3 linked regions of the Drosophila melanogaster genome follow. The gene in region 3 interacts genetically with the main gene of each other region. Each region holds a gene or a part of one and is shown on either strand. Other genes may lie near its edges. The genes, in order: eag, para and Hk.

Region 1 (7,622 bases), 4.7 Mb from region 3:
GCCTAATTTAAATTCCAGTAATTCGAACTTGTATTAATAACCAAACTGAGGTTGCAGCAATTGTGGCCAATAGAAACAATTGTTTCTGTGCCAAAACAGGATATCCGTTTTATGTAGTTTTATTGACCCTTGTATTCGTATTACAATCTTGCTCTCCTATTATTATTTCAATTTAATAAACCTTATATTTAAACTCGAATAGTCTTTATCATAAGTAGAAATCGGTAAATGCGTAACAACTGCACACAATAATTTATTTAATCTTGTGAAGCAAGGAATCGGCATGCGTCTTTGTCTCTTTTTGCAAGCTGCCTTTATTTTCTTTTTAATTATTTCTGCGGCTTGTTGGCTCTTCGGATAAAAGCTTTCCGGGTGGGCGGAAAGGCCACGCCCACTACTGCCAGTTCGGCCGCCCAGAAGAACACGAAATTCATAAATTAATGCATGGCGTGTTGTTGGCTATTAAAAGCAATGAGCAAGCACATGAGAGGGAAGATCTTGAAGGAGCGGGACGGGACACAACCACACACACACACATATGAAGTAAAACCAACAGCTTAGGGACTAACCCACACACACACACGCACACTCACATTGGGCCGGGCACATTAACATAAAAACAACATCAAGCCAAGGGCCAAGAAGAGCAGAAACCAAAAAGCCAAAAACTGAGAGAAAATACAGCAGAAATGGCAAAAATAAAAGAGGAGCTACAACAGAGAAATAAATAAATTTACATATTGCGCACGTGCTTTGGCCTCTTCCAGCTTCTATGGATTTGAATTCAGCTAGGGCTCTTGTACTACCTCAAAAATATATACGAAATAGTCCAAATGTACTCCCTAAAAGGTCACCAAATGCACTCAGAGCAGGTGTACTTTGAAAAATGGTTGGATTACATAGAGTACATTTACTATTGCATTAACCTTTGGATATGTAATCATACGATTTTTTAAATTTACTTAGAAAATGATCTGCTCTCAATAAGAGTTTATGCTTTAAATAAAAAATTATAAATAATTTTATACAGCTTTTCAAGAAGAACAAAAATACTTCGCTTTGCCATTTTCAGGCTATGTTTTTTCCTTGGAAGCTGGCTACGGATTTCGGTTCCAATTTTATGGCGACAGGACGGCGTGCCCATTTGCCCCAATGACTGCCAAACTGTGGCCACATTTTACATATGTAATTGTCTATCCACCCAAAGCCCCCAACCCCTGGGCACCTGCCAACTGCCTTGGCGGGATGGGGCCGGGGGTGCGTAGCACAGCACCGCTTTGATAGCCAGTGGAATGTTAATAAACTTGTTTTGATACGACAGACAGCCAAATCTCGGGCACAAGGTCAACGAGGACAAGGACGCGGGGAGCGAGTTTTCCGAGTCCTGCGAGCAGCTGCCAGCAAAGAAGCCGCAGCCAAAAGCCAAGCTAACCAGTCTGACAATCTGACAATCTGACAGGAAGTCAGCAGGTGGTCCAACTGGTCTGGCTTCACTGTACATATATATAAGCGATAAGTGCCGCACTGCCTGCGCAACGAAACCTCAGTAGAAAAATATGGCGGGACCTGCCACGAAGCTTCTGGATAAATATTAAGCCATGAGGCTTAACTTTATTTTTATACACTGTTCAATAAAAAACATAAATAATATCTAAAACTATATACAAGCAATTGGAATAGATGTAATTGGTGAAATATGATTTGCTTCGAAAAATAAATGAGCCAATCGAAGCAGCAAATCATTTATGAATTACCGCATTTCCGCTCAGTGTAGATAAGCGATAATGCAGTTAGTTGAAGAGCAGGGTGCGCAGGGGAAGTGCAGCAGCATCCGGAAACGGAAGCGACGGCAAGGCAACACGGATGCCAGCGGATGTCAAACATTAAACACTTGCGGAGGGTCAGGGAAAGAATAAAATATAAAAAGTGACGGGTGGCAGTTAGGCATTTAACATATTCTATGGAAATCCGCTGGCAAACCATTCAAATGCTCGTGCACAGTACGTAATGCTTTAAATTTGCAAATCTGTTTAAAGGCTTATTGGTGCCGCTTGATTGATTAGGCAGGATATTCCTAGGGCCTTTCCCTTCCACAACACTTACACTTCATTAACTTTTGGGTAATAAAAGTGGGAGCTAGGGAAAAGACACTGATAGAAATTGGAGATTCTAGATAATTTCGATATTTAACTGAATTGTATGAAAATTGTATGTAAATTAAATATTGATCATAATGAGTTTGCAAAATAAATCGCTTAGAATATATGTATATTTAATTTTATTCCGTTAAAGGCTGCATATTTTGCGTTCAGTGCACAAATAGGACTATATGTATGTGTGGCGAATCTAATTTACGATTTGTGCTATTAAATATGCGCAAAGTAAAATTGAAAATTACAAAGAACGTGAAAATGCGAAAACATGGGAAAATGGGAACAGTCGGCGCTAAAAGTCAACTGCCAAAAGTGTACAAAAGATTTATAAACAAGATATATACACATACACACTGGCCATATACATATGTGCGTGTGTGTGTGTGTGGGTATTGCTTCTTGTTCTTTTTATTTTATTTTATTTATTTTATGTTGACAGCAAATTGCGGCGCCCGTCAGCTTGGACTTTTCCTGTGCTATTCCCGTTATTCTTGTTATTTTTGTCATTTGTGTTGTTGTGGTTGCTGGTACATTTTTAATGTTTTGGCTCTTTTCATTTGGCCCACAAACACACACGCACGCTCAGGCACACACACACACACACACACTTGTAGCCACACATGCGTGACAAAATTGTTGGGCTCTTCTCGTGAATTTGGTTGTTCTTTTATTTTCTCCTGGCTGTGGGTTTTTCGCGTTTTCTTCGGCGGGCGGAAAACTTGCTCTCAAGATTTACTCGGCATTTCTGTGCTGGTGCCATTTGGCATTGTTTGCATACTTCCAGGCGCAAAAAGTGGGCCGACCCATTCAATTTTCCCCCTCTCCGTCTCGCTCTGTTTATCGCCCCCTCTCCTTTCGGCATCAAATGCTTTAAATATTTAAGTAGTTTCACCCGTTTCCTGTTGCTGTGACTCACAGTATGTGTGTGTCTGTGAGAGTATACATATGTAAGTGTGTGCGTTTGGGAGCGTTTGTAATGTTGCGCCTGTGTGGGTGTAAAGGGCATCAATATCAATCTTGTACGGATGTCAACTAACGCAGGCCACCCACATTTGCACTCTTTTTCACCTTTACATTGAAACTTTTATCACTTAAACATATACGAATCGAATATACCCTTTTGCTCTGCGAGCACCGGAAATACAATACAAATACTCCTTCAAATTCAGTTGGCAGCAAAGTTAAATTCGTATTGCATAGGCGCACTGCATATCTGAAATTCGTAAAAACTATATTTATAGCACACTTATTTGGTGTTCTGCTCAAGGACCGTTTTCTTTTTCTCACTGCAGCTAGATTAAGTTGCCACATGGGCATAAGTGCACTGATTAAATAATACAGACTTCATTTTCCCACAAAAATAAACGTATTTTGTTGTCTTTTGAACTTCTGAGCGCAATTACTGTCAAACTGTAAGCGTGTGTTGCGTTTGACACTTATGCAACCGCAAAGTGCGTTGTGTGTGCGTGTGTGTGAGTGCTTGTGTGTTGGTTGCACTTGAAAAACAAGCAATTGATGTAGTTGCTAAAACTTTTTTCGCTTTATTTGCTTGCTGACATAATTGCGCATTTCATTTTCTGTTGGCTGACACACATTCAATGACGGGGAGTAGGAAATAGCTGGAAAAACATCAAGAAATTAAGAAAACAATAAGGAACCAGCGCAAAACTGAATAAATAAATAATGAAAAAACGAAGCATGAATCGACGGAAAACCAAGAGCACGCAAATTTAACTTATTATGTTCCATTTTTCCACGACTCCGACTCCTGGCTCCCTGCTCATTTCAATTTTCTTTGCTTTTCCTTACATTTTCTTTCGGGCAAAACTTCGCCGTTCGCGCTGTCTCTTTTGCGCCGCCAGGAAAAAGTTTTAGCGCCGACAGCGACGCCGGCAGAACGACAAAAGACAACAATTACAATTAGAAGTGTGTTTATGCCGCCTTCTCGCTCACTCTTCCCCTTTCGCTAGCTTCCTTTTCTATATATTATTTCATTTTATTTTTTTCCCCATTTCTTTGCGGCAAGTAAAAGAAATTCAAGTTTATTACACAATATTTCGTCCTAGCCTTTTGTGATTACCTTTTGTTGCTTTTTGTTGTTTGTTTAGTTGCTTTTTGATTGCTTTTAAATGGTGGTTAAATATATATACATATATGTATATATATGTTTAATATATATATAAGTATGTTTATTTTTAGTGTTATTCCGCTGATTCCGATACTTTCTTTGATTCCGATTCTTCACTGGTTTTCGCTGGATTCTTCAATTCTTTTCAATTTTTCCTGCCTTCGCCGTATTTGCGATGTGATTATTCTGCAACGCGTTCTTCGCGTTTCACTTTGCACTGCAGTTGAGCAGCGTAGGTGAAGGTGGTGGTGGAGGAGGACAAGAAGAAGAAACAACAATTAACGGGACACGAAGAAGCACACAACAAACAAGAAAGAACATGAAACGAGAAACGCGTAGGATCAGCAGCGTGCAACAATTGCCGACTGCGACGCCTACTGCGACGTCGACACGTGCGCGGCGCCCCCACTTCCCCCTTCCATAAATCCCCTCTCGCCACACCACCACCCCCTCCCACCGTTTACACTGTTGTAATTTTCAAAATATTTCAGGCGAAAAAAAAATAAAAAAAAATCGTATTCGATTGGCGCACACAAAATGCTGGATTTATTTGCTGGATTTTCGAACTGGAGGACGAATCCCGGATTCTGAGGACCGCTCGACGCGAGAGTTGCGTCTTCATAGTTTTTCGCGACTACGCACCTAAAAGTCGACTACGAGTGAGTTGCGCGCTGCTAGAGCTGGGAAAACATCGATGTCGCTGCCGATTGTACCGTTACTTTCACATTGACAATCATCGATGGTGTGCAGCGTTCTACCCACCCGCTAGGTGGCGCTACTCACGTTAGTATCGATATATCAGCACGTATGGCAAAAACGGTTAAATGGCAAAGAAACACGATTCCTATCGATTTTCAAATAAATAAACTGGGCGAATTTAAAGAGCTCCATTCACTGGAAAAATGATATAGTCGTCAGAGAGAGTAGTTGGCCACGTTTTAATGATCTAATCTTTTCCATTTTTTATTCGTCACCCTTCAGTCAGTCAGTCAGTCCATTTCCCTTTGCACCAAAATTTTGTACTCATTTTTCAGGCATCTTTTGTGATTGAAAATTGATTTGTACAAACTTTAGCTGAGTTCGCCATGTATACCAAAAGGTGTCTCAGTGATGTGCTATGCTACATTGCGCACAGGTATATGGATATACCCTTACCCACCTGCAGAACATACTCCATCTGGAAGTTCCCGCCTAATTTCGATGCGAACAATCAGCGTGCAGGCAGATTGTTTTGGTTCTCCGAGCAGATATTCCCCCTCATGTTCTACTATGCTCTGGGCATTAGTATCATTGGATCGGTGCGTATATGCAAATTGCTTTATATTTCAGATGTGCATTTATTACACCTATCTCAACACAGACTCACAATTGTCTAGAATTCATAAGCATTTTGTTCAAGAAGGCGCATCTGAAGAAGTCGCATCGGCTAAGGAAGGTAAAGAATTTCAAATACAAGCAATTGCGCCGCTTTCGTATCATCGGATGCATTTTAATGTTAACGGCGTGGACAATACTGCTATACGCCTTGGCCACCGTGAGTACTAAAAATATCATATACAAAAAAAAAAAAAACGATATCTATTCAAAAACTTCTTTGAATTCCATTAATATATTGTAAACATTATTTGAATCCAGCTCAAGCCGCATTACATTGGTCCATGGTTTGTGATTTATGCCACCATTACATCCATCGATATATTATTGGTGCTGTCAGATGCCTTAGTGAACAGGACTATAGGCAACGGCTTCTTGTTCAAGACTTTGATCCCGGTTATCAACTTGTACTGTGTCCTTTCTGTGCGGTCGACTCTCAGGCAACTGATCGAATTTTACGGTTATCAGGATGTTGTTTGGTGGTCAATGGAAAGATATGCCCCATAAATTGTCAAAATAAGTGAAAATAATATTTAACTACATTTTACGTCGTACTGTATTTTTCTCATATTAACAAAATGTAATAAAAAAAATTAATTATTTAACAAAAACAGCGCCACCTGGATGTTGTGCCGAGTAATGGCAATTGACCAACAGGTAGCGCACATGTGCAACATTGTTATTAACGCTTCAATTGTTATAAAGCTTTTGGTTTTTAAGCTTTATGGATCACATTTTATCCTAAAGAACAACTTAGGCTTAGAGGAACTTAATAAATAGATCTGTTTTAAATAGGAATTGAAAGCTTCTTTTTGAGGTTAAAAAACCCATTTAATAATATGTAATGATTAATATTGGTACTAAACATGATTTTAGGAATCATGAAATATGACAAAATGTAATACTGTCACTTTCTATCTATCTATTAAATATTTGTTATAAAATAAAAATAAAAATATAGAATTAAAAAAAAAATGGCTAAATAACCATTACTGATGTCTAAACCCACCCCCGCAAGCAGCGTGTTCGCTCACCATCTACCTCTCTTTTCAAGAGAGCACGTTGCAAAGACGTTCAGACCCGCCACCTCCGCGCTCCACGGCACCCTTTTTTTAGGACAGAGCATCAAGTTGGTGGCAGTTCCCCAGCGAACACTGAGCACAACAGATTACCGAATTAGTGCGCAGGTGTTTGCGTGAGTGATAGACGAAAAACTGTAACCTGTGGCAAATCCCCCCACTAAAAACTGATAAAACAACTGAAAAGGCTGTTGGGTTCACCTCTGAAATCTAAATCCCACCCATAACCAAGCTCGAAAATAGCCAAGATAAACAAGTTGGAGCTGCAGCAAATGAAAAGAAAAACAGACGTATAATAATAAAACAAAAAAGCAACGAAAAACGAAGCCAAAAACTCACATGCAACCGTCTTAATGAAGTTGAGAAAAACTGGTTTGCTGAGATAAACATTTTGGAGTTTGTTTTGGTCCCGCTTTCAACGGTCATAAGGGGAAGGGGGCTGAGCCAGGGTCCAAAGTTCAACACAAAACAGCACCAAGAAAGTACGACGACTCGTTTGCGCGAAACGCACACATTTTGCATGCTCCCGCACAGGCTAGTTCGAACTTTTAGCATATCCAACATCTGTACGCAAAATATCATAAAATCTTCTCTTGGCATTACACAGAAATTACTTATTGATCGTTGGGCTTCTTTATAAGTCTCAAGAGAAAGTTGAGACAAACGAAGTCAGTATCTTTTATTATTTACATAAGTAGATCTTATCATTTAGTTTTTAAAATAACCTTTAAAGCCCCACGTAGTTCTTTACGCTTTATTTAAAAAAAAAAATGATCCGAAACGTTAACATTTCGAAGATCTCTATCATAGAAACATGATTTATATTTAAGACTGGTTATACCAAACTTAACAGATAATACATTAGTGATCCATTATAGCACGTTTACT
Region 2 (7,534 bases), 6.3 Mb from region 3:
AGAATTGAGGTTAGATAGCAGATAATAATGGTTTAATTTGCATATTAAGCAATTTTAAGCCAGATTATGTTAGTAACATCATTTATTTTACTTGCTTTCTTAGATCAAGCAACTTAGGTACTGTCAAAATTGTTTAAACATTTATGGGTGCCACATTACAACGAAGGATTCATTTTTTATGTGCCTCTTGCCGAGAACTTGCAAGGACCTCGTCGAAACCGAAAGGACACGCAATTGTGGCCCAGAATCGAAAGCGAAAACTTTCCCTTCCTTGGCCAAAATCTATAAACTTTCGTTTATAAAACGCACTAGCTGTCATTCGTGTGCGATTGTGTGGCTTTCGTGTGGCTATTTGGCTATTTGTGTTGCTTTCGCGACTTCTGGTCGCTATAGAAAACCAAAAAGCTGAAAATATAGTGAAATGGCATGGGGAACACCCGTTAAAGAAAGTACCGATGTGTTAAGACCAGTCCAAATGGGTGTTACAATAACTTTGCGGCTCGTCCAATGCCCAGCGGGTTAGGCCGGTGCCATTCGGCCAACAGCCTGCCACCAGCCTTCCATCGTGCTCACCAGCTTGTCCCGGGGCGAAGGCTCCGCAGGACCCCCATACCATTGCATCCCATGGAGAGGGACGGAAGCCCAGCCGGAGCACCACCAGTCACCAAATGGCAGTCGCAGTTCAATCTGCCCCTGGGTTGTGCGTGTTCAATTGGCTTCCAGCCCCATTGTTGTTCTTTGCTCGCCCTTTGCCTGTTGTTGGCTTTTGGTGTAAAAAATTTACATAACCCAAATTGATGCATAAATAAATTATTAAATACGTGACGTGCAAATGGTCAAAAGACCAAGCTAGCAGCCATCGAGCAGCAAACGCAAGTCGAATAGCATGTGTGCAAGGCTCTGGCCTTTGGCTTCCATTGTGCGAATCCCAAGGGCTTGCAATCAGGACGCAATCCAATAAGGAGATTGTGCTCTCGGTAATATTGCCATCCATATGCGACCTGCGACAAATGTCTTATGTTACGCGAAGATCCTCACTGCGAATTCAATTAGGAGCAAGGCCAAGGTTCATGATCCAAACGAATTCCAAATCATTGGCTCCCATTATGGATGAAACTGTGATAAATAAACATTAGTCCCAAAGAGAAATTGGCAATTTAAAGGTTTCTAAGTACGCTATTGAGTACAACTATTGAGTGCCAGGAAATGATAAGTCCAAACTTATAGTATTACACACTTAAGAATGAAGTCAATTAGGTTAAATTTATAGCAAGCTTAAACGCTTCGAAAACAGTTTCCTGATTTAAAAGCATTATTACTCAAACTCCCACAAAAGCTGCGCGCTTTGGTGACCCCAATCCAGTTAAGACACACACACACACACACACAGTTAAACTCCATTGTTTTCAATTTGTTTATACATATGTATGTACTTGTCCATTTGTAAGGACATTAGGAACGCAGTTCCTTAATGTGTGCAAATGGGTGGGCTGACTGGTGACTTGGTGACTTGGTGACCCCGCCACCGCTGGGTTAGATAAAGTTCGGATAGGATCGATTGGTCGGTGTCCAAGATGGGGGGCCCCGAAAAGCGGGTCAGCATGATTTGCGATTATAGCTGATGCTCCATATTCTCGGGCCACATTAGTTATGAACGCAGTCGGACTTGACTTGACCAGTCCAACTGGTGCCAAACGCCCAAAAATAATGACCCACTGTTGCAATTTTCGGGCAGAGCAGAGCCGTGGAATATCAGCTTGATGACCTAAAAATAGAACAAGTGACCAAAGACAAATAAAAAAATGAGAGTCGGCGATGGCGAATAGTATGTGGCAAATGGCGGAGAATAGCGAAGGGCGAAAGGATAAGCAGCGAAAAACAGGGTGGCAAAGTAGCACAACAAAACCTGTGTTGACAACGACTTGGGTGGTTATATATGGCAAATGCTTTAGGGCGAAAAGGACTTCTCACACACACACAAACACACACACGCGCGAACTGCTTCTGCTCCTTTTCGCGGCAAATTCGGATAAAAGGAAGTCACGGCGAAACGGCGGACAACTGCCTGGTTCGCCCGAAAACGGAGTTACCCAGAGAGGAGGAACTTTTTCAGTGCTCAGTGCTCGACTTTTTTCCGCATCCTTGTGTCCTTTTTCAATACTGCTCTGCGTTTCACGTGCGCGCGAAAATTGCATAAACACAAACAAGCCGCGACTCGCTGCCTCGACATTTTTTTTTACAGTGCATCCAATCCAGTGAGACATTATCCTGCCAATTGAGTGCTCATTTTACGTTTTTTTTTTCGTGTGTCTAAGTGAAAGCCATCAAGTGTGTGAATACAATTTACAAGCCCATTTTAAATATCTATTGAAGAAATATAACAAGTTTAGTAGAAGGAATCAAATAAACTAACGACATAATTCACATAATTGGCACAAGGACAGCAGAAAATCTAACATATAAAAAGAAATAAATATTAAAAAAAATAATTTCAAGCCATTCAAACAATACTAGGGGGTGCTTTTAGTGGGCCATACAAATTATTCGAAATTTTTTCTTCCGATAATATTTTTTTCAATTTTTTTTACATTTCTGTCACCTTTTGTGAATGAGTTTTCCCATCAAATTTTCCAATTTAAGCTGGGTTTCAACAACTTGTTCGCTTTTCCGCAGGCGACGCTGACGAAATTGAAACTAAAACCGAAATAAAATCTGCAAATAATAATAATAATACTATTAGTCATAATACGGAAAACCAATTATAATCATAGCAACAGTTGAGAAACCAAGCCGAGGCAAACTCATTTAAATATCCCAGCCAGGTAGCCAGATACTAGTAGAAATAATACAACAAATAATATTAACATTAACTATAAATAATAAATTGAAACAGCTCTGGGAACAAAACGCAACGTTTGATGAAAATTTCTGGCAACACGTCTTGGTTGTTGTTAAGCACGCAAAAAAATTAAATAAAAAAACCAATTCAAATACCCAATGATAATGCAGATTTAACAAACAAAACCAAAACAAATAAAAGCAAACAAAAATACAAATATAAAAAAAAAACCAAACAAAAAAACCAAAAAACAAAACAAACAACAAATTCATCTTCTACTTGTTCTACCGCTTCAACTTTATTCGTCTTCGTCTCCGTAATATATATATATATATAAAATATACATATATATATATTTATATATATATATATCTATGTATATGTATGCATATGTGTGTGAGTGCGTCGCGTGTGTGTTGGTGCCTGTAAATGTGTGAGCCACAACAACAACAACTACAACAACAGCAGCAGCAGCCAGAGCCACAACCACAACAACAACAACAGTAGTTAACAGCAGCAACAATTCTTAGCAGCAGCAGCAACAACAACAATACAAGCAAGCACGCTCACAACAAAAGCAGCAACAGCAACAACAACCACAATAGCAACTACAGCAACAACAACATCAGCGGATAGAGCGAGCAGCCAGGCACAACATCGATAGACATCGATTAACGGTAGGTAATCGAAGGCAATCGAAAAAATCCATTTAATATGTATTTTATTATCACATTCATTGCACTTTTAATTATGCTAATGATATTTAACCCTAAACAGAGGAAAAAAAATCGTGAAATTTTTTATTTGTTGAGTTTCAACTATTTCCGATACCTTGAATGATTTATTCTTAAGACTAAACGATCTTTCGAGTCTAAAAGAACCACTTTTATGATGAATTCTTACAATTAACACATAGTGGAAATGTATTGAAAATAATTATGTTATCTATGTTAGAGCAAACAGGCTAACAATGTGTTATATTAGAAATTCTCAGCTCTTACTTAACTTACTTCTCAGCTCAAAACAAAGTCATTAATTTACTTTTCATTTTGGTCAAAGAGAACTACATTTTACTGGGTCAATGGTTCAACTTTCATTGAAAGTTTTTAAGAAACCCACATTTGGTATTCCCATCGATTGCAATTTTAATATAGAATACCAAAAAGGGCAATTTACGCTGCACGTCAAATGAGAATTTAGAAAGCAATTGTGTCTTTCGTATGTATTTCAATATTTGAATAGCTAGAAAAGTGTGAACGGAGCAGTGGGCGACTTGATGAACTTGGCTCGATTATGTCATGCCTCCTTGGTGAAAATCCCAGTTAACCAGGCCCGACCTCAAGACCATATCAATGGGGTATCTGCGCCCCTTTTTGTCCCGCCCACTGGCACGCCCCTTTGCTTTTGGGCTACAACCTTTTGCTGGCTTTTGGAGGGCAAACTTTCAGCTGCCACAAAAAAAAAAAAAGAACAGAGCAGAGCAGAGCAGAAAAAAATGAATGATGAAGGTTGAGGGGGGGGGGTGTTTCTAACGGAATTCCTTTGCTCACGCACACATTGAAAGGAGGTTCGTTAAGAGAGAAGGGAACCCAAAAATGTATTGTTGTAGTCCGTGTTTGTTGGCGGCATCACACAGAGAAGTGAGAGCGCAAGAGAGAGGGCACTGGCTCTCTCGGCGCAGGCAGGAGGAGAGTGAGAGTCCTCGCTCTCTCGCCAGCCCATTGCGCTCTCCCATGCAAAATTCATTGACTAACAACATGCTAACTTCGTTCAGTTTTTTGCTGTTTCTGTTTGTTTTTTTTTTTAGTTTTTTAGTCCTTTCCTTGCCATCGAATTTTGTTCAACAATTAATAGGGTAGCAGATATTCTGTGTTATATTGCCAAATCGATACCTTGGGTTGGCTAAGGAAAACGTTTTGCGTTTCGCTCATGTGTTTGTCATGTGTCATTTGCATATTGACACAAATTCCGGCTCGGGTTGTTTTTTATTTCAATTCTTGTTTGCGGTTTTTCGCATGACTCATCGACCCAGCGAATGGCCAAAAATTAATTCGGCAAACAGAATTTTGCGAGTGTCATGAATGGAAACAGACACACATAAATATATGCTCATATTGGCACATCCACTGCCACTCTGTGTGTGTGTGAGAACGCTACCCTATGCTTCATGCCTCCGTGTGTGTGTGAGTGTGGCGAAATATCGAACTGACCTACTTTTATGCTCGATACACACACACACACACACACGCACACACACTGGCGCGCTCACACATACACACACGCAGCCAGATTGGCAAATGGAAAAAGAGTGCTTTGACCTTAGCGGAGGCTGCTTATGTAAGCCCAATATCCGAAGACCGCAGGAACATCCGTAACCGAATCTAGATTCAATTCTCACATTTTCTGTAGTAGCGGTAGAAGGTAGTGTTAGACCGTTTCAAATAAATGAAGTGCTTATAATATTATCTACATTTTAAAAATCATAATCGTATTACCTATTACTAAGCTATCTATGTAAGTCAAATCCAAAATTTATACAAACAAGCAAGCGGCGTCAATAAAGTCATACGCATTAAGGCTCAGTTCAGTCAAGTCAACCACTTTTCACAAAAAATCGTTAAAAATCGTTAATTTCTTCGAACGTCGCTATATTAAAAAAACGCAAGGCTCAATTCAGTCAATCCTTATCTATTCCAACTCTGAGTAAGCGAGCAAGCGAAAAGTGTGTGAAAATGGCTTGGAAAATGCTCTTCGCCATTTTGTTGCTGCTGAGTGCGGCCAAAACCGGCTATTTGGCCCCGGAGTCGGAAAACTCTGTGGAGGATGTGCAGATAGAGCCCGGCGCCATCTATGGCGATGAGAAGTTTGCCTACAAGAGTCCGGTGATCGATGCCGAAAAGTTTTACTTTGCGGATCACTTCGACGACGTGGAGGCATCCCGAAAGAGATGGGTACTGTCGCAGGCCAAGAAGAACGACATCGCCGATGAGATAGCCAAATACGATGGCATCTGGAACTGGGAGTCTCCGCAACGCATCTTTTGGGCAAACGATCTGGGTCTGGTGCTCAAGTCGAAGGCCAAGCATGCGGCCATAGCCGCCCCCTTTCGCCAGCCGTTCGATTTCAAGTCGAACAAGCCGCTGGTGGTGCAGTACGAGCTTACGTTGCAGGAGGGTCAGGACTGTGGCGGCTCGTATCTGAAGCTTTTGTCCGCCGGAAAAGGCACGGAGCAACTAAATCGCTTCAATGACAAGACACCCTATACCATCATGTTTGGTCCGGACAAGTGCGGCAACAATTTGAAAATGCACTTTATATTCCGGCACGTCAATCCATTAAATGGCAACATCACCGAAAAGCACTGCAAAAAGCCAAATGCCCGTTTGGGAGTGCCATTCACGGACAAGCTACCCCATCTCTACCAGCTGGTGGTCCGTCCCGATAACAGCTTTGAGATTCGCTTAGACCACAAGATCATCAAAGAGGGTTCCCTGCTGACCGACTTTGTGCCACCAGTCAACCCACCGGCGGAGATAGATGACCCCAATGACCACAAGCCAGAATCGTGGGATGAGCGGAAGAAGATCCCAGACCCCAATGCCCACAAGCCCGAGGATTGGGACGAGGATGCTCCACCACATCTGCCCGATACCGATGCCGTCATGCCAAATGGCTGGCTAGAGGATGAGCCCGACATGATTTTCGATCCAACTGCCATCGAACCCGAAGATTGGAATTCCGAAATCGATGGCGAGTGGGAGGCTCCTCTGGTGGAGAACCCAGTGTGCAAGAAGGCCCCCGGCTGTGGCAAGTGGAAGGCTCCGCTCATCCCCAATCCCAACTACAAGGGCAAGTGGAGTGCACCAATGATCGAGAACCCCAACAACCAGGGCAAGTGGGCTCCCAGGAAGATAGCCAATCCAGACTTCTTTGAGGATCTGAAGCCCTTCCAAATGACGCCAATCAACGCTGTGGGTCTGGAGCTGTGGTCCATGTCCAGCGATATTCTCTTCGATAACCTGATCATCACGGACGATGTGGAGTTGGCCCGTGACTTTGCTGCCAACAGCTTCGACATCAAGCGTCTCTACATCGATCGTGAATCATTCGGGAATAAGGTAGTCGAGCTAGCTAGGGCCAATCGAGCGATCTGGGGCATTGTCATAGTGGCCATTGCGGTGCCGGTTGCCATTACCATCTTCTGTAAATTTGGTTTAGGCCCGAGTAGGGTTGCGGCTGCCAAAAAAGCTGCTGCTGCCGCGGCCAAGAAGACCGACGATCCTCAGCCCGATGATGACCTGGGGGCCGAGGAGGAGGAAAAGTTGGAGAAGGGGAAGAAGGAGGAGGAAAAGAAGGAGGAGGAGGAGGAGGAGGAGAAGGAGGAGAATAAGGAGGAAAAGAAGGAGGAGGAGAAGGATGACGAGAAGGAGATGAAGGATTGCGAGGAGGAGGAGGATGACGAGGAGAAGGATGACGAGGAGAAGACCGACGAAAGGGCCGCTGGTGATACCAACAAGGAAAGCACACCGCTGTCCGCTAGTCCCAAGAAGAACCAAAAGTCTTATTTAGATAATAACGAAGATGAGGAAGACACATTAAAGAACAAGGAACCTACCCCAAAAAAAAGGAAGCGTAAAGCACTCAAGGAGTAAGCGGGCATCCGTAGTCACTGCAACTCTAAATAAGAAACTAAAT
Region 3 (7,594 bases):
CATTGGAACCATCCATCCCCAGTCGGACCCAGCCTCACTCAATTCAACGCACGTGCCTGGTCATAGACTGGAAAAACAGTTCAACTGGATAACTGGACAACTGAAAAACCACTGAGGTCCTTCCACAGGCTCACGCACACAAGCGCAAGCAACAGGACTTGTTTATCGGTGAGTATTCCACCGTGGAATCGGATTGCGATAGGTTTCGGTTATGGAGGATCACGGAGATTTGAACTTTTCAAAAGAAATGATTAAAGAGATAGCAGACTTTAACAAAGGTCTAAAGATATTGCATACTTTTAAACACCTTTATTGGTGCCAAATCCGTTTGATCCTCCCCCATTGAGCCCTGCATATGGGACCCTGACTAACCTATACCACGTCCTCTTTCCAGACAGCCCCTCGGTTGGGCCCCACTCCAAACTGGCCCATCAATTTTGGTTCTCCTACCCGCCACCGGGCGCTGGCGGCGGTTCCTCAAGTGAGTCTTACGGGTTGCGCATGCGGGGCAGCACCTTGGACCCTCCACTATTACTATTCGTAATACTTCCCATCCCTAACCACCACCCCACCCCCAAAAAAAACGAAAAAAAAAGAAAAAACAAACAAAACCGATTCCCACTTCGTTTGTGTTGTTCGTCCCTCGATGTCTATGTAATCTAATTGATCGATATAACCGAAAGCGATGATAATACATTCATATATAGCCCGTGTATAGTCTATAGGGAGTGCGATTATCGTTTGTTCTTTGGTTCCACTTCTTTTTTGTATGACTAGGCCATCCTGTGAGTCCTCTCTCTGTATATCTATCTGTATTTAACATATATATGTATCTTGTCTGTACGTATGTCTGTATGTGGTACGTTTGTTAAGTGACTCCTCTTAGATGTGAAAGCCACATAAAGTATATCTCTCTTTACATATATAGTCGATGATAACCAATTCCTTCTTTTCTTAATGTTACATGGGTATAACCATATATTTTGCCACATACCAAATATATTATAATATAGCGTAACTGTAGTCAAGGCCCAGAAAACCAGAGCCAAAGAGAGAGGTAATCCGGCTTAAAGGATAAATTCGAGGATAATAATCCCTTATTTTCCTTGGTTTTCTATCATTCGATAGTCCATACAAATAGATTTTATTTTGGGGCTAGCCAAAATTCTTTTATTGTATTAAAATACTAAAAAACAATGTCTATTGGCTCTCCCCAATCAATAAACATAAGATTTAGTTCCGATTTAAGTACGAAATAATTGAAGATTTATTTGTTGTACTTCTTTTCTTTGCTCTTCTTTGATTGTATTGTCTTCTATGTTCAACACACAATAAAAAAAGGAATCATAAAACTAAGGAATCACGTCTAACAAATACGAATTACAAGCGAAAGAATACAAAAATAAGAAAATACAGAATTAAATCGAAAACGGAGATCTCTCCCTTTCAGTCTCTCCTCTCTTTCTATCTGCCTATATGTCTATCTCTTTCTTAAAAGACACACTCAGACACACCGCACTCACCTAACGGTACTAATACCATTCCAATCGTTTCGGTACGCGTCGCGATCGCGTGTAATCAATTGCCAAATTCGACAAGAATCGTTACTAAAATATAATCAAAATCAAATTCGACACAACAAGAACAACATCATCACCACAAGTACAACATCAGAAAAAAAACACATTGAGGTAAGGAAGAATTTCTTTCTCTTTCTGTCTCACACAACCCGCCTCTCTCCGTCTCTCTCTCTCTCTCTCTCTGTCTTTGTCTCTCTCTGGTCTCGTAGTGTTGGCTTAATGGAAATAGAAACCATTAGGCCACAAACAGATTCCCATTAGAAACCCCATAGACCAAATGAAACCAACTACAATAAGCCCCCCCCCCCCCCCCCCTCTACATAGCGAGTTCCGTTATTCCGCTGTTCCGTTCCGTTGGTTGTTCCGTTACGTTACGTGTAGTTCGTTTCGTTCCACGTTCCTTGTTTCCCCTTAGTTGTCTTACATTTTTCGGTTAGTTTTTGTTTTCGCATTTTTCGTAGAGCTTTGATGATGATAATAATAATGACACTACGATGATGATACTACAAAATGAAGACCCTGATGCGTCTGTGTGTATGTGTGCAAGTAGTTTGTGAATGGAACGGGGTCAAAGGTGGGCCAGGTGTAAGCTTGTGGCGCTCAACTAGCGGCACTCGGGCCTCTTTGAAGTCATCAAAAGGGTAGAACAAGATAATTGCATACGCTTGAAGCTTGCGAAAAGGTTAAACAGATAACTAGAATATAAAATGAGTAAACTGTGTAACGGCAATTTGAGTATTTGCCAAGGCTTGGGGCTAAAAAGTATATACATATGCTATGGAAAGTAAACCGGTTTTCTTCGTTTTGCATAGAAAATGATGTTTTATACACACACAGGTAAATAAGTGAAAAATAATAAGTGAAAAATGGCTTTAAATATAACTTAAAAAATTCGCTTGCAATTACAACTTTCCTATGATCAATTTTAATCCACCACAACACAGTGACTCAAATAAGTGTTTACTCACCGCTTGTGACGCACTTGGTGAACTCTTGTGCTCTTGTGGTGGGTTGAATCGGTTGAAGCCAAGGCCAAAGCTCAAAGCTCAAATATTCATGGGAAGCATAAATGTACGAGGCAAGCAAAACGACGGCAGCAAACCAAATGTTGAGTGTTAGTCGAGTAGAGGCCGCTCCTCAAAGTGGGAATGCTCCGAAAAAATAATAAAAAGAGGAAAAAAACACCAATTTAAATAAGTCAAATAATTAACGAACGTGAGAAATACAAAAATGCAAACAAATGGCAATCGTGTTGATGTGTAGATATTGAAATTGATATTGACTGTGAATTAACTTTAATGCAATCAGTGTGCCCACCGCAATTCCAAATTACGTGCGTGACTTGGTCACACTACCGCAAAATGCATATCTGTCTGGTTGCCGCGAACACTCGCAGCTGGGCATTAATCCTCCCGAGAAGATGACACTAATTGGGCCGCGGTCAACTTTGGTTGTGTTTAGTGTTTTGGGTTCAGTGTTTAGCTTTATGTTTTTAGTGGGCCGCATGTTGGTGCTCAGTGTCAGTTTCGCCTGGCTCTTCGGCCGCAACTGACGACTGTTGATTCCGTGTGGGCTTTTCACCTGTCGAAAGGTGCGAATTAGTATGACACCGCCTCGGCTGAGTCGCTATTTGATGGCAGTGCGTGGTGGGCGCGATGGGGAGCAGCGTAAGTAGGGGGGCGTGGCCTTGAACTGTGTATATATATATATATATATTTATATATAAAGACATATATTTGTAGTTGAGAGCGTGTGTGTGCGTGTGTATAAGAGTGCGAGCTGTAGATGTGCATGCTGCAAGTTGTTTTATCCGACCATTTAGAACTTTTCAACTTGCATGCTTAGTGCTTGAGTAGAGGATGACAGTAAAATAATTGCAAATTGAAATACAATAATGAGAATCGATTGAAACAGTTTGAACATGGCCTCTTTTTCTCCCCCGTCTCTCTCTCTCTCTCTCTCTCTTTCTATTCTTATGGATTTCTTGGATTATTTCTATGTTTTTCATATATTTCTAACATTTATGTTTCTACATTTTCTCTGTCATGTTTTAATCTATCCTTTGATTTAAATATATTTTGATATGTTCTTTAACGTTGATCCATTTAACTTGAATTTTTTTTGATTGATTTACTATTATTTCCCTTATTTGTTAATCATTTTTTAATACTTTCCTTAAATTATATAGACAGCAAGAACTCGCAGACCGACGAAGAGAAGCAACGCGATCGACAGCGAAACGAGCGCGAGGCGAAAAAGGAAGAGCAGGACGCTATCAACTACAAGGTGAGTGTGTGTGTGTGTGCCTCTCTCTGTCTGCCTTCTCCCTATCTCTTTCTGTCGCGGCCAATTCGGTGTGCGTGTGTGTGTCTACCGCGCGTGCAAACAAATTAACAATTTGATAAAGCCAATGTAATCCCTCAAAAGAAAAAAAGAAAAAGAAAAGAGTACCAAGAAAAATTATAAAAAAAAGTATAGATAAGAAAAGAAAGCAAATCCAAATGAAGCAGTAATTGAAAATGCAACAGCAATAATAACGATGGCCATGCGATAATCCATTAAACCTGATAGTAAGAATGCACTTTGCGACAATTGCATGCAAACAGCGCGACAAGGAGCAACGCGAGGCCCGTCTGCTGGACTTTGAGATACGCCGCCAGCAGAAGCGGGACGAGCAGCAGCAGCAGCGCCAGCAGCAGCAACAACTGCAGCAGCACCGCGAGCATCTGCAGCAGCAGCATCGCGATCAGCAGCAGTCCAGCGAGAAAAGTCCGCCCACCTCGTCCACCGCAGCCGCCGCCCACCAGACACATTCGCATTCGCAGCAGCAACAGCAGCGGCAGCATTTGCATCTGCAGCAACAGCATCTGCAGCAGCAGCAACAGCAGCAGCAACAACAGTCAACGGGCAGCGGCAGCAGCAACACACCAGTGACCCCAAAGTTGCAGACACCTCCCCCCGATCGATCGCTGCCCCCCGCCTTCCGGAGTCGCTCCATCGAGCGGGAGATTCTTTACGAGCGGAAGCGATTCTCGCAGCCGGAAACCGGCGAGATCAAGGTTTTTCATCACTAACCACCACTAAAACCCCCACTGCCTTAACCCCTTTTTAGAACCCACGCCCACCCATCCATTTCATTTCGCACCTGCCAGCTGCAACTTTTCCATGACCGGAAGGTGGACAAAAGAGCCCGTTAAAGCCTTCAAACTTTTGCTATTGGCATGAATTTCATTTATTTTATAGATTTAGTTCAATTGAATTAATTTATAAATGTTTTTGATAAGCTATCTTCATTTATGATTGGTTGGGTGATCACTTTACTCTTTAAATAAACGTTATAGTTTTCTTTGTAGCTTAAGAAACTCAAGGAACCCCTCTATTTTAGATCCTTTGATACACCGCTTTTGTCCACCTTTTCAATGATGAGCCGCTTAGCTAAATATACTTTCTTTGGGAACTCACTTTGAACAGGAGCTCGATAGTACGACATCATCATCCTCCACACAGCAGACCTTCCCTGGCAGCGCAGTCGGGGCGGGCAGAGGAGCGTCAGCAGCGGTACCTGGAAGCGGGACAGCGATAGCGGTTGCAGTAGCAGGAGCGGGAGCGGGACAATCGGCGACATTGGCGGGGCCGCCGGCAACGGCCGCAGCTGCCACAGCTGCGATCATACCGATTCTGCCGCTCGGCGTTGCAACGCTGCGCGATGATTCCACCGAATCTGAGCAGTCCGTGACCTGTGCGCACAACCAGCTCGATGCCTACCACCGCATCATGTGAGTACAATCTAACAACTAGCCGCAAAATATATGTATTATATATATATATAAGTTTGATATAAAAGCCAACTAAATTGTACACTACACCAACAAGTTTTATTATGTTGGCAAAACCGACAAAGCAAAAATCCCTTGCCCTGCTGTGCAAAAGTCAAAAATTGTCCGAAGCAGCCATTGTCCAACTTTGAAGTCCTTTGTTCTAGCAAAATTCTTGTGTGGCCTGATTTCGCACTCCAAAATCAATGAATGCCAGACGAGCATCACATACAAAGTGTAATGTAATAAAAGAGCGTATTAAATTTGATCATCATCGTGTAAAATGTCCCCATTCCTATGAAATTTAACTGAATATGGTTCATTGACGGGATTGTCAGCGTGGAAAGGCAGTAAATAAGGCGATAAGGGTATCACTCTATTAAACCGATTTTATGGTTCGATTTTATTGTGTGTGCTGAAGAATGAAAAATCATGACTCTAGCTACGAACTCGATGAAAAGTGATTTACTTATTAAAAAATAACACTTTTGCTTAATATATATTTGCATACATTTGCTTAGGTATTTAATGAGTAACAATTTTAGCAGAGGATATAAAAAGTATCTACAAATTGCCATATTAAAGAAGTAACTTAAATGAACACGAACTGTTTTCCCAGAAAATGTAAATGTATCCGCTGTCGCATCTTATTAAGTGTTCTCGGCAAAAGTGTGCAATTATACAGAATCGGATTATTTGCATTTTCCTTACATTGTTTGAACTGCGTTTCGCGGCATTAAGTCAGGCCACCTTGTTTTTTTTTATTTTCTTCTTGGACTTCTTCCAGAAGCTTTTACCTCGTCCAAGTGAAATGAGTGATTTTCGTGGCACAATTGTTTTTATGACTCATACAATTAAATAACAACAAAAGGGCATTCAATGAAACTTTTTGCGAAAAGTTCGAAACAAATCTGAGTAGTGCACTTAACCCTGAAAAGTATGCTACGAAAGTTGCATGTAGAATCCGTGTAAGTGGCATGTAAAAAGCGAGGCATATCAAGTATACGCCATGTAATACAGCAGGCAGTTGCATTTGCATGCCACAGATGGCGCCCACGTGCAGTGGGCTAGGTGCATCGCAAAATAAATGCATTTCAAATGAAATCTGTGTTTGCAATTCCAGCAAGAAATTCAGAATGCTATACAATATTTCTATTTAGTTATATGTTGAAAACAAATGAAAGGTTAAAGCGTAAAAGAAATCATTCCAGGTTAATTAAGAAATCAATCCAGGTTAATTTTTAATGGAAATTCTACAGTAACTTGATTTAAACGCCGCGGTTTCTATTCTAACGTAATTACTATGCGAGCACTTTGCGCGCCTTAAGCTTGATGGGAAAATTAGCAAATAACATGCTTCTGCGTTGGCCTCAAATTAAAATGGTTAATTTTTCATTAAGGCCAAGTCATTAATCGACCTGCCAGGTAAACCCCATCAGCGCACAGGTGCATTTCCGACCGTTTGTAGCCGGGAGAACCGGGGTTTTATTATATTTGATTTGGCACAGCCTGCAGTCTGCAGTCCGCTGTTCCGGCAATCGGATCGAAATTGAGGCATCTAACCGTAACATCATCCAACATTTATGTGCAAAAACGAAATCCGAAACGCAATCAATTGCCGTGAGTAAGTGCCTTTTAATTGCTACGGGCTTCTGTGAATTAATTTTGCTTGCCGAGCGCAAAGTGTAATTTAATATTCCCATGCAGTTAGATTCATATTTTATATGGCCCACATAACGCGGCGCGGCTGTGTATTTAAACACTTATATCCATTGAAAGCTGACCGGGGGTGTTGGTTATGGCCTTTGGCAAGTGACTTCTTTGCACTTATACATTATTCATTATTACTCCGGCGCCATTTGTGCAATATTTGGATTCGTTCCAGCCCGGTTCCCAAGCCAATGCATTAGCCGCAGTCCTTGGCCATTTATTTCGATCAAAAAAGGGTGGCTTATAATGGGGCTTTTAGAGTGTTTCGATGCACTTTTATTAAAAGCTAGCTTCCGTCACAAAGGGTTTTCTAAACAGTGTTTAGATATTTTTTATTTAAGAAGCTAAATCCGGAATGAAGAATCCTTTATTTTTTTAATCAACTTTATTTTTGCCAAAACTTTGTTATATTTATTTTAGCTTTGTTATAAAAAAAGAATTGTTTTGTTATACGTGGGCCTTTTCAAAAAATATACTATTTCTGCTTAT

The links.
Region 1: of Hk (region 3) and eag, changing one enhances a phenotype caused by changing the other (phenotypic enhancement), as found in Drosophila melanogaster (one study listed by BioGRID).
Region 2: of Hk (region 3) and para, changing one suppresses a phenotype caused by changing the other (phenotypic suppression), as found in Drosophila melanogaster (one study listed by BioGRID).

Annotation. Positions count from the first base shown.
Region 1 is NC_004354.4:14,952,741-14,960,362, reverse strand, and holds the start of eag (ether a go-go), read right to left. Parts: upstream 4,887-7,622; 5' UTR 4,814-4,886; intron 4,499-4,813; 5' UTR 4,234-4,498; intron 1-4,233. Other genes in the region: CG9030 (uncharacterized protein), read left to right, coding at 5,367-5,579, 5,642-5,815, 5,917-6,162. UniProt on the Drosophila melanogaster protein: Structural component of a potassium channel. Mediates the potassium permeability of membranes; potassium current is regulated by CaMKII and CASK. Has a role in growth of the perineurial glial layer of the larval peripheral nerve.
Region 2 is NC_004354.4:16,523,259-16,530,792, reverse strand, and holds the start of para (paralytic), read left to right. Parts: upstream 1-3,378; 5' UTR 3,379-3,516; intron 3,517-5,377; exon of another isoform or gene 5,378-5,571; coding exon of another isoform or gene 5,572-7,491; exon of another isoform or gene 7,492-7,534. Other genes in the region: Cnx14D (calnexin 14D), read left to right, coding at 5,572-7,491. UniProt on the Drosophila melanogaster protein: Mediates the voltage-dependent sodium ion permeability of excitable membranes.
Region 3 is NC_004354.4:10,251,765-10,259,358, reverse strand, and holds the start of Hk (hyperkinetic), read left to right. Parts: upstream 1-2,690; 5' UTR 2,691-3,183; coding exon 3,184-3,247; intron 3,248-3,768; coding exon 3,769-3,866; intron 3,867-4,186; coding exon 4,187-4,639; intron 4,640-5,051; coding exon 5,052-5,356; intron 5,357-7,594.